Linked DNA regions of Coturnix japonica. The protein of the gene in region 1 interacts with the protein of each later gene in a pairwise test. Links are inferred from orthologs where the notes say so. Each region holds a gene or a part of one and is shown in the gene's direction. Other genes may lie near its edges.

What was found.
Region 2: the proteins of PCSK5 (region 1) and NUFIP2 interact in binary tests that used the Homo sapiens proteins (3 or more experiments, as listed by UniProt). The two-hybrid records come from large-scale screens. The link is inferred for Coturnix japonica from reciprocal best matches to the Homo sapiens genes PCSK5 and NUFIP2.
Region 3: the proteins of PCSK5 (region 1) and MEOX2 interact in binary tests that used the Homo sapiens proteins (3 or more experiments, as listed by UniProt). The two-hybrid records come from large-scale screens. The link is inferred for Coturnix japonica from reciprocal best matches to the Homo sapiens genes PCSK5 and MEOX2.

What each region holds. Positions count from the first base shown.
Region 1 is NC_029547.1:33,589,543-33,592,025, forward strand, and holds part of PCSK5 (proprotein convertase subtilisin/kexin type 5), read left to right. Parts: intron 1-246; coding exon 247-362; intron 363-1,844; coding exon 1,845-2,025; intron 2,026-2,483. UniProt on the Homo sapiens protein: Serine endoprotease that processes various proproteins by cleavage at paired basic amino acids, recognizing the RXXX[KR]R consensus motif. Likely functions in the constitutive and regulated secretory pathways.
Region 2 is NC_029534.1:4,761,208-4,765,594, reverse strand, and holds the start of NUFIP2 (nuclear fragile X mental retardation-interacting protein 2), read left to right. Parts: upstream 1-1,581; 5' UTR 1,582-1,691; coding exon 1,692-1,875; exon of another isoform or gene 1,876-2,122; intron 2,123-3,424; coding exon 3,425-4,387. UniProt on the Homo sapiens protein: Binds RNA.
Region 3 is NC_029517.1:25,764,104-25,768,311, reverse strand, and holds the start of MEOX2 (homeobox protein MOX-2), read left to right. Parts: upstream 1-1,337; 5' UTR 1,338-1,734; coding exon 1,735-2,245; intron 2,246-4,208. UniProt on the Homo sapiens protein: Mesodermal transcription factor that plays a key role in somitogenesis and somitogenesis and limb muscle differentiation. Required during limb development for normal appendicular muscle formation and for the normal regulation of myogenic genes.

The sequences.
Region 1 (2,483 bases):
AAATGCATCTGCACTGCTTATGCACAGAGAATGAATGCAGTTTTGGAGCACACAAAACCTCAGCATCACACATAACCTATTCAATATTATTTTAGTACCAGTTTCTTCAAGCTGGACCCCCCACTTCAGATTCTTAAAGTTGACAAGCGTCCCTTTTCATTGGTAGTAGTGATCAGTGCATTTTCAAAATGAAGTTAGATGAAAATTGTTACTGCTTTAATATTGTTGTTTTATTTTCCTTTTCAGGAAAGGAAGGATTCAGCTGCACATCTTGTGTATGGAGCTACAGTTTGTTAAGTGGAATGTGCACCTCAGACTGCTTTGTAGGTTACTACAAAGTCCAGGAGGCACCAGGACAAGAGGTAATACTCACAGGCACTTGGTCCTGTGATTAGTATGCTGTCCTTTAACTTCTGAACACAACACAAACACAGAATGTTCTTCTCTGAGTTTTCAAGGCTTTTAAAAAGCCTCTTCTCTTGACAAAGAAAGCATTGTTTCTCTTCTTGGATCTTTCTGTTTTAGAACACTTCTCTAAGAGTAATTATAAAGACATTACTCTGCCAAAGATGATACGAAAGTCATGTGTACAAAATGAACTATGTTATTAAAAGAGTATTTATTTTACCCTAGTTTAACTGAGATTTCCACTGGGATTTCTGCTTCTTTGTTTGTGAGAAATCACATCACATTTCTGAAAGGCAGTTCTGCTAGCAGGAATCTAGTGAAAAGAGAGGCTGAAGTTAACGCTGTATATTTAACAGAATAAGAACACAATCAGGTTTGTGTCTGTGCAGCTAGCTTGCTTCCTGGTTTCTACACCAATTGCCTTCCAAAGATGTTTGTTCAAGAATATAGCAGCAAAGCAAGACAACTGGCCAGAGATCACAGAATCTCACAGTCACAGAATTGCAGAAGTTGAAAGGGACATAAAGAGATCACAGAGTCCAACTTCCCCACTAAAGCAAGTACAATTGGTCACACAGGTAGGCACCCAGACAGGTCCTAGATATCGCCATAGAATAAGACTCCATAACCTCTCTGGGCAACCTGTTCCAGTGCTCTGTCGCTCTTACTATAAAAAAAGTTCTTTCACATATTATTACATGTCAGAGTTACCTAGATCAATCTATGTCCATAACAGGAGGGCAGTAAGCTCGTGGACCCCCCTGCCTGGGCAGCCTGATCTAGTGTATGGTAGCCCTGCCCATGGCAGGGAGTTGGAGCAAGGTGAACTTTAGCCTCCCTTCCAACCCAAGCCATTCTATGACTGCGTTTCTGTGAAATAGAACCAATGCAAGCTAATAAAATTTTACATTGCTATAAAATTTCCAGCCAACTTTGCTCCTTATTTCTGTCCCTTCCTAATCAGAAAGGGAATTTATTCTCTCATATTTTTGCTTTCTTCTTATTTTTTATTTTTCTTCCTTCAGCGTATTCTCTCTTGCTTCTCCCATCTCAGTACTTTCAATTATACTTGAGTTAATTTTTGGAGGCTGTTTTGATATCATTAGTGCTAAAGAGACACAAATCTAGTACTACAGGACTAGCAAAAGAAAAACAGTTTTTGGAAAAAAAGCATATATGCGGAGTGAGTTCTAGCCAGTTGTCTTGCAGAGTCAGATCTCTAAGCTCCTACAAGTCTTTATCCATCTTCCTACAAGTAGATCAGCACAAGCCTAAGAAGTATTAACAAAATTTCAGTTTTCCTACTCCCTACTGTATTTTGCAATTGATACCTTTGGCATCCAGATGTGACCACTCAGTGAAACACAGAGCAGTACTCTCGGGTTAGGGACAAGGAAGATGAAAAGAAAGGTGCATCATTTGTTTTGTGTCTGAAGGAGGACGAGACGAAGTGTGAGAGATGTGACAGCACATGCACAGAGTGCAAGGGACCTGGACCTCTCAACTGTACCGTCTGTCCAGCTGACATGCAGCTCTACCTGGAAGAAGGCCGCTGCCTACCCTGCTGCAGTGACACTGAACACATCCCAGAGTGCTGTGACTGCAGTGAAACACAAGGTAGGACCATCCTGAGGGGCAGCAGTGCCACTGGTGGACAGTATGGCTGACTAAGCTCACTTCTAGACATGAAGAGGGGAAAAGCAAAAACATACTGCTGAGCTACAACTATGTGGTGTTATTTCTACTGCTCTACCATTAGAATAGGAAGGTCTTTAACCAAATAACAGCAATTGCAACTGCTGCAGTTCTCTCACTCCCATCTACTGTGCCAAATTGCCAAGCACTTCATAAAACAGTTGTCTGGGAAGTGCTTTATTCAATGAATAGCAATTTGAGAACATCATTTTAAGCTCCTAAGTCAAAATCATACTGTCGACTTCAAAACAGCTGTAGTATTTTATACAACTGATGATCTGTAAGGTGGAAAAATATTTTTATGGAGCAAACTGATAGAATTTTGAAAAACAGGCTTGTGGCACACAGCCTGTCTTCAAGTCTTTTTAGGTGCCTGATAG
Region 2 (4,387 bases), on another chromosome or scaffold:
TATAAAACGGTGCTGCTCCAAAGTGAGCCCTGCCCCCATATCACCCCATATCACCCCATATCACCCCATATCACCCCATATCACCCCATATCACCCCATATCACCCCATACCACCTGCTGCATCATGGCTGTGTGCTGCTGACGTGTTGGATGGAGGTGGACGCAATAAGTCCCTTTTCTTCCCATGGCTGATGAGATCTTTCTCTTCCTGTGGATGAATTCTCTCATTCCAGCTCGCCCTGAACATACGATGCAAATTAAACCTGGTGTCAAATAGACCTTCGAGAGGGAACTGGTCTTAGAAATGATTCCTACAAATCACTGGGATGAGCCTTTATGTGTGTTTCCATCTGGTTTCTCCTGCTCTGGATGCTCCATGTGATGCACACACAGAGCGGAGCTTCTAAGGAGAGAAAGTCCCTTCATGTCCAGCCATCCCTCTGAGCTTTGCATTTAGATTTCTGCTGTCTCTGTGTGCGGAGATGATTTGTCCATAATTACTCGCTTTCTCCAGAGTCCTTTGAAGCTCCTGTCTCCAAACCAGTCCCTTACATTGAGAATAAACCACTTCCAAGCCACCAATAAAATGTGAGCTGTGATTAAAGCCCGGCTCCTCGCTTCGGGAGCTGTTTCCTAAGTGAGGTCAGCACAGTAGGAAGTTTTGCCTTGTGTGCAGGGTTATGCAGGAGGACAACCCCTGTGCTGCACTGAGGTGTGGGGGGGCTCTGTGTGATGCAGGACGGAGCTGAGCTTTATTGAAATATATGGGGTTGTTATGTGGGAGAAGGTAGGAAGTGGTGGTTAAGGGCGGTCTGTGCCCTCTGGATACTCTTTGGGAGGATATTGTGATGGGCTTCAATTCTATCGCCCTGTTTGCTGCAGGAGGTTAAAGCCGCACTGAGCGCTGCCTGCATGGGGATCTCCATCTGACCCAGACAAAACGTGGGCTCACTTTTGGGTCTCTCCATCCCAAGTGTGTCCCCCTGGCGACCCCCCATCCCCCTGCGCTGCTAATGGAGCCCAAATCCCACCGCCCCGTTGGGTGTCCGTGGGGAACGTGGGGTCCGCGTTGTTCCGCGTGGCCGTGGAGTGACACCCCAAAGCTCTGGGGCTCCATTACCCAGCCGGGACCGTCCCCCGTGGGCTCATTTGGCCGCGGACATCACGGAGCTGCAGAGGGGGGCAAGGACGGCGGGTCGGTGCCGCTCGGAGCCGGGCGTTGAGCTGGACGCCGCTGGGGCTCCGTTCCGAGCCGGGTCACACCGTGATGCTGCGATTGAAGCCGGGGGAAGCAAAACACTCGGACTCACCCCACGCCGCCTTCCCACCCCGCCCCGCTCAGCGCCTTTCCGCGCTCCCAAACCTCCCCCGTTTATTCGGGAATCTCGGTATCTCTCCGCTCCCCCCATACCCCCTATATCCCCCTATACCCCCTATATCCCCCCATATCCCCCCGCTCCCCAGCACCGCCCCCTCCCCGCTCTCCTCTTCCCGTTCCGCCGCTCTCCTCGCTGCGGGGCGGTGCTGGGGGCGGTGCCGTTCTGTGATTGCAGCTCCGTTTCTCCCATCCCTCCCCCCCCCGCCTCCCCCGCGCCACCCGGAGCCTCGTCCCCGCTCCGCCGCTCGGCCCAGCAGCGACACAGCGCCCAGCCCGGCCCCGCAAAGCTTCTTCCCCCCCTTCCCCTCCCCCAATGGAGGAGCAGCCCCCGCACCACCCGCACCACCACCACCACGGGCACCACCACCACCACCACCACCACCCGCACCACCGGCACTTCTGCTATTACCCGCAGAGCTCCTTCCTGCCGCCGCCCGACGGCCGGGCCCAGCCCAAAGCGACGCTCCGACACCCGGAGGGGCCCAAGCGGAGAACAGGTGCGGGGCGGGGGGCGGCGGGCGGCTCCTGGGGGGGGGGCTTCATCCTTCATCCATCCTCCATCCTTCATCATCCTCCTCCCCCGGCCCGGCTGGAAGCTTCTCCGCCGCGCTGGGGCCGCTTCCTGTCCGCCATGTTGGAGCCGGCGCGGCTGCGGGCGGCGCGGGGCACGTGGGGCTGCGGAGCGGTGCGGGATGATGCGGGACGGGGTGGGAGCGGGGGGAGCGGGACGGGGAGCGGGGACAGGAGGAATGTGCGGGGGGAGCGGGCGGGACACACACGGTGTGCGGGGCGGCGGGACCGCGTGGGGCGGCGAGAGCGATAACGGGGGGGAAAGGCCGGGCCGGGCCTGCGCTGCGCGGGGCATGGACGGGACCAGCCCCTTTTACCCCGCACCCCCCTTTACCCCACACCCCGTCCCTTTGCACGCCCCTTCCTCGCCGCCCCCCCCCCGCCCCCCCGGCCCAGTTGTTGATTTGGGGAGAGAACGGAGCGGCCTCGGGAATTGGAGCCTGGAAGTGCTGACACGCCGAACCGAACCGAACCGGGCCAAACGTGCGGTCAGAGGGATCCACGTGTGTGCGGTCCCATAAGGATTCCCTTCCATAAGGATTCCCTTCCATAAGGATTCCCTTCCATAAGGATTCCCTTCCATTAGGATTCCCGTATCCCTTAGACCTGGAGCTCTGACATCTGCCCCGCATCTGAGGCTCCAGGATGCACAGATAAGGGCTGCTCCATCCAGCAGCGTTGGCGATGACCAGAGCATCCATCCCCAAACCGCAGCTCAGCCCAATCTGCTGCTGTGCCGGCACGTGTCCCCTTTGAGCGCTGCTTTTCGCGGTGCTGGAGGTGCCGTGGGCCCGGCCCGGTGCTGCAGGGACACGATGCCACCAGCTCCGGGCTGAGAGGAGCAGCCCCTGTTAAAGCATCCTGGGAATTTCCTCTGCGTGACCTGGAAATGGTGCTGATGAAATCGCTCTCTGGATTGCGATGGGCTTTGCAGGGCTGCCTGCTTTCCTCTCCTCGCATCCCTGTGTCCCTCCTGCTTTGTTTTGCTCCTTGTGTCCAACAACGCGCTGCTGTCCCTGTGCTGTGTGTGAATCCATGGGTGGTGCTCAGCCCTGCTCTGTGTGGATGGAGATGGTGTGGATTGGGCAGCAATAGGACAAGGGGGAATGGGTTGAAACTGAGACAGGGGAGGTTTGGGTTGGATCTGAGGAGAGGGTGGTGACACACTGTAGTGTGTCCCATGTTGCCCAAGGAGGCTGTGGGTGCCCCATCCCTGCAGGCATTCAAGGCCAGGCTGGATGTGGCTCTGGGCAGCCTGGTTGGTGACCCTGCACACAGCAGGGGGTTGGAACCAGATGATCATTGCGTTCCTTTGCAACCCAGGCCATGCTGTGCTCCTGCGGTGGTTTTATGGGGGAGCTGATGTTTCCCTATTTCAGAACACCTTGAGGAAACGGGGCGCAGCTTGTTGCAGTCAGAACTTTAATGCTGCACATTCTCATCTTTGCTCTTTTGTCTCTTCTTGGTTTCTTCCAGGCTATGGAGAGCTGAACGGTAACGCAGGGGACAGAGAGGTGTCACTGAAGTCTCTGTGCTCAGAGGAGACCACCAGCCCCACGTCCAGGGTGCCCAATGGCAGCCAGCAGCCCGCAGACCCCAACGTGACCCCGAAGCCGTCTGTGAAGGGCAGCTCTCTGGGGAAAGCCGCCATCAAACCCAAGAATTTTGTTCAGAAAAATAGCATGGACAAAAAGAATGAGAAGCCCTACGACAGCAAAGTGAGGGAGGCTCAGCCTGCCGACAAGCAGGACGGGGTGTCCGTCCCCAACGGCGTGGTGAGCGGCGGTGCCACCTACATCACCAATGGCTACGTGGGCAAAGGGGGGGCCGACAACGACGGGAGCGGCTCCGAGAGTGGCTACACCACCCCAAAGAAAAGGAAAGGCCGGCGCAACAGCGCCAAGGGCTGCGAGAGCTTGAACCTCACGCAGGACAAAGTAATGCAACAGGAGGTCGGCACGCCGGCCCTCAAACAGGAACTGGAGAGTTTCAAGCCTGATTATAGCGAGCAAAAGGGGAACCGAATTGAGAATACGAAGCCTGTTTGGAAATACGAGGCGGGGGGCGGCGGGGCGGGCAGGGGGAAACCAGGAATTGGAGACGTGCAGAGGAAAAACTCGGATGCCAAACCTGGGATTAGCGGCAAGAAGTTTGATGAGCGGCCCAAAGGGAAGCACGCTTCGTCGGCCGCGTCTAAGGAGGACTCGTGGACCTTATTTAAACCACCCCCGGTTTTTCCAGTGGACAATAGCAGTGCTAAAATCGTTCCCAAAATAAGTTATGCAAGCAAAGTTAAGGAGAACCTCAACAAAGCAGCTCAGCCCCCATCTGCGTCTTCGTCATCGTCGTCTTCATCATCTGCCGGGGAAGCTCAGCCCGCCCCGTCCAGCCGGCTGTCCCAGGTCCCCATGTCTGCTATGAAGTCCGTCACTTCTGCCA
Region 3 (4,208 bases), on another chromosome or scaffold:
TGAAAAGCACAAAATATTTCATCAGTGTTGTAACTGTATATTTCCTTTATTCTGAAGAAATATCAAGTTTTGAACAGTGCACGGAGGCAGCGACTTCTGCTTTGGACGCCGCTCCCTTTTTAAAGACCTCATTATTACAGTTAAATCTAGAGACAATACTTAAAAAGCATTAGATGGCAGAAAAGGGGGGAAAGTCTTACCGTCGAAAGGCTGCTGCAGGTTCCAGCTCAGCCTGAAACTGCAAGGAAAAGCGGAGCAGCTGCTGAACAAAAGTTTTAGATTTTTTTTTTTTTTTTTTCCCCCAGAAAGTCTGCAAAACTAATTTCCCACAAAATAGGACTCAATTTCCGTTTAAGAAACCAGCTCTTGCAAATCTCATACAATTCCTGATTTTTTCCAATGGCAATTCGAATTCATTTTATCTTTCGCACATGGACCCAAGAGTTTAGACTGAAATGACAGAGCGCGGTGCTTTTTCTTTTTCCTTTTATTTTTTATTTATTTATTTATTTATTTCCTTTTCACTTCAAGTTTGGTTTGCGGGGAGGACGAGGAAGGTAGAGCGAAGAGAAAGGGAGAAGGAACTCAGCGTTTCGGCAGCGGGCATCTCTTTGGGCAGCGTTCTGTAAGCGCTTTATCTTAATATAAACCCGTATACAGCCTTCCTCGGCGCTACTGCTAATCCCACGACACGCGCAGCCCGGGCTGTCCCTCTCCAGGTTGTCCCACTATAAAGGCTGCAATGTAGCAAATGGAGAAGCAGAGAAGTTGGGTAAACTGCGCTTTTGGAGGGGCAAAAGGGGCGACTTGTCTGTGTTCGAAAACACGTGGCGGCTCGCTGAGCGCCGGGAGTTTAGTTGTAGACCCACAGGCACTGGTGGTCCCTCCTGTCCTTAAGGGCGAGGTGTGCGCGGAGGTGACTGCGGGGCTGCGCTAGGCAGAACAGCCTCGCACAGCCGGGCCGTGCCGTGCCCAGGTACGCTGGGAGCTCAGGTGGGGCTGCAGCCCCGCGCCCTCCAGGTGTATTTGATTTCTCCCACACTTCGCCCCTGTGCACATCCCGCTGGGTGTCCTTTATCGCGCTCCCTTCTGGGAGAGGTGCGGTGCGGGGATGGCCCCATGGGGCCCAGACGCCCCCCGCCTCGCCCCGCATCCGTCCGGAGGGGGGAGCGGACAGCCCCGGCGGAGCGGCGGACGCGCTCCTCGCGTCGAGGGGGAGGAGAAGCCGCTGCTCCCCTCCGGGCCGCCCCCGGCCACCCCCCCCCCCCCCCCCCCCCCCCCCGGGGCGCGCAGCGCTGCCGCCCGCTGCCGGAGCCGCTCGGCGCGGGGACGGCGCTGGCGTTTTGGAGGGAGTTTGCATGTGGTCAGTGCTGTGCCGCTAAGCCAGCCCCCAGCTCACATTACACACTACTGTATTTATAACCTCTCGGAGCCGTTTCCCCCTTCAAGCAGTTCTCTGGGACCACCTTCTATTGGCTTCAACCTCTCCCACTTCTTGACATCCGAGCGGCTCTGAGAAAGGCTCATCTAGGTCCGAGTGTTTATGCAGCGGAGACTGGCCGCTAGGGCTAAAGACCTGGATTATCTGAGCTCAGTCGCCTGCTGCAAAGTCGGTCGTTGCCGTTTTGGAAAAAAAAATCCCAGCCCCGATCTGTTTACAGTGAAAGTTGACAAAGGGTGGTGAAGTTGGATCCTTCCTAAACTCTCCTGCCTGGAACCTGAGACTTGCATGCCATGGATCACACACTCTTTGGCTGCCTGCGCAGCCCCCATGCCACCGCGCAGAGCTTGCACCCTTTCTCCCAGTCTTCTCTTGCCCTGCATGGAAGATCCGACCACATGTCCTACCCCGATCTGTCTTCTTCTTCTTCCTCTTGCATAATAACGGGATACCCCAATGAGGAGGGCATGTTTGCCAGCCAGCATCATAGGGGGCACCACCATCACCACCATCATCACCACCACCACCACCAGCAACAGCAGCACCAGGCTTTGCAGACGAACTGGCACATCCCTCAGATGTCGTCTCCTCCCGCCGCGGCCAGGCACAGCCTCTGCCTCCAGCCGGACTCAGGAGGACCCCCGGAGCTGGGCAGCAGCCCCCCCGTGCTGTGTTCGAACTCCTCCAGCCTGGGCACTACCACCCCTACGGGGGCAGCGTGTGCGCCGGGGGACTATGGCAGGCAGGCTCTGTCCCCTGTGGAAACGGAGAAGAGATCTGGGAAGAGGAAAAGCGACAGCTCAGGTAACGGCGGCTTTCCCTGCGGGGAGGGAACCCCGGGCGGAGGGTGTCGGGGAGCTGCGCTGCAGGGCCCCGGCTGTCTCGGCTCGGCCCTGCTCCGTTTGCAGCGGGGCTGCCACCGGGCTGCCCTCGGCCGCGTTCTCGGGATGTCCGTCATTAAGGGCAGCTTTATTAGGGCCGCGGGGGGGGGAGAAATAAAAAGGAAAAATCCAGCACGTGATAGCGCATGAAGTAGTGAAGGTGGCGGTGGCGGGAGGAAAGTTTCCATCCGACAGGGCGAGAGCTTTCGTAGTTTCGGAATGGATTTTAGCATCTGGCCCCTCGTCCCCCTCCCTCTTGCCGATCCGCCACCTCTGCTTCGAAGCTGGGGACGGGACACGCTCCTTGCCTCCGCCCTGACCGCGGGCTGCGGCATCGCGGCGCTGAAGAGGGAGATCGCAGCGTGGGGCTGCACGGGACGGTCCGAAGCTTTTGCGCTCCGTGCGTAGGATCTGGCCGTGCGTGCAGCTCGGTCCTCGGCGTGGAAGGGGAGAAAACTGGGGTCCGTAGGCCAAACGGGTGATTGAAAGCTTTAGAAAGTTGCTAGTACCGGGGGCGGAGGGAAGGAAGGAGCTGTCTGACTTTTCACAACACCACAACTCTTGCTTAAAGACGAGCAGAAAAACATATAGAGCCGCAGTTATTTTAGGAGGGTGATTCAGGAGCTCTGAGCGCGCAAAAGCCTTGACATAATCTCTGCTTAAGCCGGCTGAGCCTGGCATGGGCAGCTCTGACCGAAGGCGTGCGGTGCAGGCGATGTGAAGATAGCACACACAAACCAAAGGGCCGTCAGGGATGCAGCGAGGGGGCAGTGGGCACTTGGGAAGGAAAGGACTCGGTGCTCTGAGAGCTCCTGAGCGGGCGTAGCGAATTGTATATTATCAAGGAAGAGAAAGTGAAAGGCTTTTCCACAGAGCTGTGGAGTTCCCAATCGAAACCGTGACCTCTTGCAGCCAAAATGTTGTTGGCTCAGTAGAGTGGTGGACGATTGGAACCGTTTAGGAAAATGACCCCAAAGGATACCATTATTACATTAATAAATTAATTTTGTCATTCAAGATAGGATTAGTTGAGTTTTATCTCATGTAGCCGGGCTGAAAAGTCTTCCAGGAATGAAAGCTGTACTTTGTCAAACAGCGGTGGTGAATTCCATCATTGCATCTTCCTTACGCTTTATGAAATAAAAGGAATTGTCAGATTTTTGTGCGGCAGATGGGGAGTGCTACAATTTGAGTCCCTGTTACTACTGAAAAATGCCTGTCGGTGTAGGGATTTATTGTATTTGTCAGTGTACTTAAAGCTGAAGGGAAAAAAAGGAAATGGGTCCCTTTCACTGACAGGGAAGTATCCGTATTGCTTTCTGTTTATTTAATTTTGTGATGCATACAAAAAAACACACTGAGGAATGTCACAGATTGTATCCTGAAATGACTGCAGCCTTCCATTGGATTTAGTGGACACGGGTGGGAACATCAAGTTGCGATTGTGCTTACATTGATAGCACTGTGCTACACACCTCACTTTCTGAGACTTTCAGAAGACCAAAGTAGTTAACTGCTGATTGCCCCCTTCTCTCTCCGAGGAAGAAAGCGTTCTGTCCATTCACACAATGAGGAACTTCACAAACTGAAAATAGGCACCTTCTGACAGCAGCTGGGTAGCTCCAATGTCTTTGGTTTTTCTTCAGGAAAAGGCAGAATTTTGGACCAACCATTTAACCCCACCCCTTTATTAATCCTAAGCTCTGATGCTACTTAATGCCATCCTAATGTATGGCAGCAAGAACTGTTGTTAGTCGCTGCATTTCTATATTTGTAATCCATAATCGCCCCTCATTAGATTAAAAATCACTCCCTTTATTTCTCATTAATCTGCTTTTTTAAACAAATGGACGTCCTTTAAAGCATTTCATCCCCCCTCCCTAATT